Oryzias latipes: one gene and its partner. The protein of the gene in region 2 purifies or fractionates together with the protein of the main gene of each other region. This does not show direct contact. Links are inferred from orthologs where the notes say so. Each region holds a gene or a part of one and is shown on either strand. Other genes may lie near its edges.

Evidence for each region. Proteins that work in one complex are often made in the same cells at the same time.
Region 1: the proteins of sgsh (region 2) and sumf1 purify together in Homo sapiens (co-immunoprecipitation; 3 studies listed by BioGRID and IntAct, with this or other methods). This does not show direct contact. The link is inferred for Oryzias latipes from reciprocal best matches to the Homo sapiens genes SGSH and SUMF1.

Annotation. Positions count from the first base shown.
Region 1 is NC_019863.2:26,833,809-26,837,308, forward strand, and holds part of sumf1 (sulfatase-modifying factor 1), read left to right. Parts: intron 1-1,677; coding exon 1,678-1,851; intron 1,852-1,931; coding exon 1,932-2,006; intron 2,007-3,230; coding exon 3,231-3,313; intron 3,314-3,446; coding exon 3,447-3,500.
Region 2 is NC_019859.2:28,826,338-28,828,546, reverse strand, and holds part of sgsh (N-sulphoglucosamine sulphohydrolase), read right to left. Parts: intron 2,141-2,209; coding exon 1,937-2,140; intron 1,030-1,936; coding exon 866-1,029; intron 790-865; coding exon 572-789; intron 1-571. UniProt on the Homo sapiens protein: Catalyzes a step in lysosomal heparan sulfate degradation.

The DNA.
Region 1 (3,500 bases), on a different chromosome or scaffold from region 2:
GGGGTTTATACAAATCTACACTCTAGTTTCTTGAAGCTATATAACCTCTTTTTGTGATAGTAAAACCTGTCCAACACAAAAAGCCTTCAGCTCTAATCTGTTTGCTCAGCTGTTGGACAGAACAAGTTAAAAAAAAAAAAAAAAAAAAAAAAAAAAAGAACAAGATATTTTGGTGTTCTTGAATATAACCCAGATATAAAACAGTTAATTAAGTGAACTAATAAAGATGTTTAAACGTAAATAAACCACACTCATCCTCTTTTATACTGAGCCCAGGAACTGACGTGGGTAAAATAACACTTAAATTTCTGCCATGTTTATAGTAAATCCACTAGATATGAGTTGGGAAGTCATTTGTTTTGGTGCCAAATAGAAGTTTAAACAGTAAACTGATTCTTGTCAGCGTTTTGTAAGTACGTTTTTTTTTTTTTTTTTGTGCAGAAAGATGTTTATGTAGTGTATATTAAACAAACTAGCATTAATGGTAATCAGTCATTAACTCAAATTTTTTACTAAATTTTAAAATAATTTTTGAATTATATCACCTCTAAAAATGGAAATGCATAAAAAAGGAGATAATTGTGTGTGTGCATACAGCGGGGAAAATAAGTATTGAACACGTCAACAATTCTCTCAAAAAACACATTTCTAATCGAGCTATTGACACGAAATTTTCACCAGATGTCGGCATCAACTCAAGTAATGCACACATAGAAAGAAATCCAAACATTTATGTCCATAAATGAAGTTATGTATTCGACTGTTTTCTCCATGCAGGAGGCGTCTTGAGGCTGTAATCACCAACAAAGGTTTTTGCACTAAGTAGTAAATAAATTTCAGTAAGCGTGTTCAATACTTATTCCCTGTGCCATTTCACTTAATTACACATAACTTCATTTATGGACATAAATGTTTGGATTTCTTTCTATGTGTGCATTACTTGGGTTGATGCCGACATCTGGTGAAAATTTCGTGTCAATAGCTCGATTAGAAATGTGTTTTTTGAGAGAATTGTTGACGTGTTCAATACTTATTTTCCCCGCTGTATCTGTATATTTTCCTATATATGTGTATCTGAAACTTAATGAGTACTCATTAGAGGGAGCCGGATATAATAGATAGTGGGTGCACAAGGAAATAAGATTGGTGAAGGGCATGGGAATGAGAACTTATAAGGCTTTTACTTCTTCTCACTCACTTCCAGTTATTTGTTGTATTTTTTCATTTTATTTTGTCATATGTTTCCATTTAAAGATTCACTCCGATCATCTTCTGATCTATTTTTAAAGCCTTCCCAGTGGTCTTTTACTTATGAATTGTTTTTATCCCCGCTGTTGTTTTCTAGTACATAGTTGCAGAGCGGCAGTATTTGATTAGAAATTCGTCTCTTGAGTTGTGGAGGACTGTTGGCGGAGAGGAATCCCGCCCCCCTTCCCTGTCTGCTGCTGATTGATGATTTGAATAACGAAATACTCTGAAATAAATTCTAAGCCTAAATTATATTATATGTTCCCTATCGTCAAAAAAAAGCCACAGTTAAATGTTGAAAATACCTTTTTCATTAGAGTGGGGCTTTAAAAATACGTCGGAAAGAAAACATTTTCATCACCATTTTCATTGTGTTTCTTTTATTTCTGAAGTTTCTCAGTCTAAGTGACATTTTAATGCCGCCCACAGATGGCGTGGATTTCTGGAGGAGAGTTTCTGATGGGAACAGACCAGCCTGGCATCGCTGCAGATGGCGAGGGCCCACAGCGGCCGGTGCACGTGGACTCTTTCCACATGGACATTCATGAAGTAACCAACCGACAGTTCCAGAGCTTCGTCCGTGCCACAGGGTACATCACTGAGGTAATTCATGTTTTCAGATTTAGAAATGAGTTTTGACTGTGATCCTGTCTTTCGTTCAAACGCTTTATCTTTTGTGTCAGGCGGAAAAATTTGGAGACTCGTTTGTATTTGAGGGAATTGTGAGCGAAGACGTCAAAAGCCAAATCAGCCAAGCAGTAAGTCCATTCACTGTTCAGTTTCCATTCATCGCCCAGCAGCAAGCTCCATCTACAGTCTAAACTTAGATGGGCTTTCTTCCATCAAGAAAACACCAACTGAGGACACAGCAACATTTTTTACTGCCCCACCCCGCACAGAACTAGGTGATAGCTGACAGATGCAGGTGGTTATTATGGTGGTTGCTATCGGAATGTGCAGCATTCAAGTGCCAGGGGTGGAAAAGTTCACAGATCCGAGTCAGGTTAGGTCAGGTCCCTGCTTCCTGGTTTCAGATTTCCTCGTGACTTAGAGGAATTCATCAGGAAAGACAAAGTGAGAGCACTCAAAGTATTAAAGCTTTGATGCCTAGAGCTAGTCAAGCTTGTGCCAAATTTAGATTTATGTTTAAATTAATAAATGAACAGGTTTCTTTGGTCTTAAAATGACACATAGAATTTAAAAAGTGTACATAAAAATACTAAATAATTAGGATGGAGTGCTTAAAGCTTTTCTTTACTCCGTTTTCTTTTAATTAGACTTACATTTACATGTTTTTTAAGATCTCCTCATATTATCCTTCCTCAGAGAGTATCTCTTTGCTGAATGCATGTGTCTTGTTTCCTATAAACAAATCCAATTACTGTGATTTTGCAACATCTTGCTTTGGATCTAAAGAGAAATTTGTTAGGAGCAATTATTAGCTAAAACAACAAAAAAGGCCTTTGCATTCTTTACAGGAAGACTGCATGAATCAGTTTTGACATAGAACTTTTATGAAATGTAAAGAAAAGTAAAAGTATTTTGAACATTTATTTCAGATTTCTGTCTTTTTAGATACATTTTTTTAAATATAATGCGAAGTTGCCATATAGGTTACAATCAAAATAAGATAGTATGCTGGAAGACTTTTTCAAGTATCTTATATCTGGTAAAACCAAAGTATATTCTGCTTTATAAAGCATCCAGCGTGTTCATGGGTTGGCTACAGGGGCCTCGACACCACAGACCTCTCCCAGATGAAAGCCAGACGCAGGGAATTCACTGCTTCATCTCAGCTGTCAGGTGCAGCTTCAGCCTGAGAGGCATCACTGAAATCTGTGCCAGCCGTTACTGGAACTATTGTGTAGAGAGTTTGCATCAAACCCGGAAACATGTCTGTTGACTTAAAAAAAATGGAGGAGAAAAACACAATAAAACACCAAAATCCGTTCTTCCTTCTTCAAAACAACAAAAAAAAACAGGTGGCTGCTGCCCCCTGGTGGCTTCCAGTGAAAGGGGCGAACTGGAAGCACCCTGAAGGTCCAGACTCCAACATCACAGACAGGCGAGTACACAGTTCAGGATCCATATTACAACACTTAATTTTCTAACCACTCAGAGTTCATATGCAGACTTTGCTTTATTAAGGGAAACATTTTGATAAAATTGAGTGTGCTCATTAAAGCTGCTTATTGCAGGATGGATCATCCTGTCGTTCAGGTTTCTTGGAATGATGCCTTGGCTTACTGCTC
Region 2 (2,209 bases):
TCTGTTATTCTGAAAGTGGATGCATCAGAATGGAGCGGAGCCGGGAGCCTGCCGATTGTAGGTTAAACTTCACACCTACATGCTTTAGCCAACAGCATTTCTGCATCTGCTCACCACGATTTCAACATAGAAATACTCCAATTTCTTACATTTCTTTACGTCTTCCATCCTGAGAAATGTGCCACAGGAACATGTTAAAAACACCAAAAACAGGATTTCTATTGAGTGGGTCTCTAAATTCAGGCACACGTCCATCACATGTTTTTTGTTAAACACATCAAGCTTTTTTTTTTTAAACACCCGATTCAGAGTTCATCCATAGATTTAATATTTTTTTAAGCATTCGTGGCTCGTCTGATGACTATTTTGCTTTTTCCAACATTAATCATCTTTTTTGACCAACATTGAACTTTTACAGTTAATGTCAGGCATTAATGTCGTCTTAGATTTGTTCCTTACGATGTCCCACAAACATGAGGAGGAGCAGATGAATGTTTGTAGATATTCTCTGGATCAGTGCTTCATTTCTACATCATTTCTCATCCATGAACCCTCCCAGAGTGGGACAGACCTGGTGTCATACAGCTCCCAGCGCTCCCTGTAGTAATACTGCTCCAGGCTCTTGAACCAGTGGGTGGGCTCACGGCTCCTGGTGCGGTTCAGCAGGTCCTGAAAGGTGGGGGACACATACAGGTCTTGATCTATGGGGAAGGGCATGCGGTAGTGCAGGTTGTGGAGAAGGTGGTACGCCCCCTGGAGGACGGAGCGAGTTGGGTAGTACATGGTAACCTGAAACGAGAAAAGCGTGGCAGTGAGGGGGGGCTGTTGGTCTCCTACAGGGCTGAGCAGCAGGAGGTGGGCCGACCTCGTGCAGGGACTGGCTGCTGAACACTGTAAACCAATCTGTGGGCTCGGCCTCCAAAGCAGGCAACAAGGAGCGGCCGGTGAGGAGGACTGCCGCTGGGCTGCCGGGGAGGCGGTACAGGGGGTACGGCACAGAAAACCAGTCCAGAATGGTGGGGGTGATGTCTGTGGTACAACAACAACAACAACAAAAAACACAAAAGAGTATGAGCAAAGAAAAGATCAGCAAAAACATTTCTGGGGCAGTCACATCAGAAATCTGTGGATTTGTCACATTTTATCTCAACTATATTTGAATGAAGGTTGCTTTTATCCCTTCAGTTTCTCCAAGCTGCTTTTTTCCCGTCCTCGGTCGCCCCCCTGTGGCTGTTCAAGAGCATTGCAGGAGAAAAGAAGGACGAGAGCGTCACATTAAAATCTTTCTACAGCTCTCCTGAACCACGCCGGTATTTCTGTCCGGTCTGGAAGTTTGGTCTTTTCTCCTTGCAGTTCTGTCCCATGAGCTCCACCAGGAAGACTTCAGCTGATTTTTTTTCCTTTTTGGAAGAGAAACGTCGGCAATCTTAGGAAGAACTTTGTAAGGACGGTGCATGAATGTCAGTGAAACGTTCTCTGACCACTGTCTTCTATCAGTCAGGAGCCAATCTGACAGGAAATCAGAGTGGACAGAGGTTTCTGAGTTGGAGGCTGAGCATGCTGTGAGTGTGTGTGTGTGTGTGTGTGGGGGGGGTCCTGCTCTGTTTCTCATGTCTTGTTGCAGTTTCTATTCTTTTTGATCTTTTGACTTGGGTTCTGCACGTTCAGGTTCTTTCTCTTACAGAAACTTTGTTTCTTCTCGTTGGTTTTCTCGCAGATGTGCTTTCCTGTCTTCCCTGACCCCCTCCCGCAGAGGCAGACCTGGGAGGGGTAGGAGGATTGTCTGAAATCTCAATTGGTCCCAGTTATTCTGATCGATTAATGAAACTTTCTAAATGATCTGGATGAAAAGATTCAGCCGCTCTGTGGGGGAGTCACATGTTCATTTACCATGAAGCCCATCTCCCTCACCACCCCCCACCCCCATCACCCTTACCTAGCAGGCTGACGAAGGCCTGGCTGCTTTCCCCCCAGCGTTCCCTGCGCTCCGGAGACGACACCAGCATGGGCTCTGCGGTTCCGGAGTGATAGAGATTGGTTCTGCCATTCGGGAAAGGGATGCCGTTATCTGAGCTGTAGATGATCAGGGTGTCGTTCTCGTAACCCGCCTCTCTGAGCTCCTCCAGAACCAGCCCGATACCTGCAGGAGAAATGTGCAGCTTCAGCGTTTGGGCTTTTGTTTTGGCGTCTCTGCTCTGGTGCTGGTACT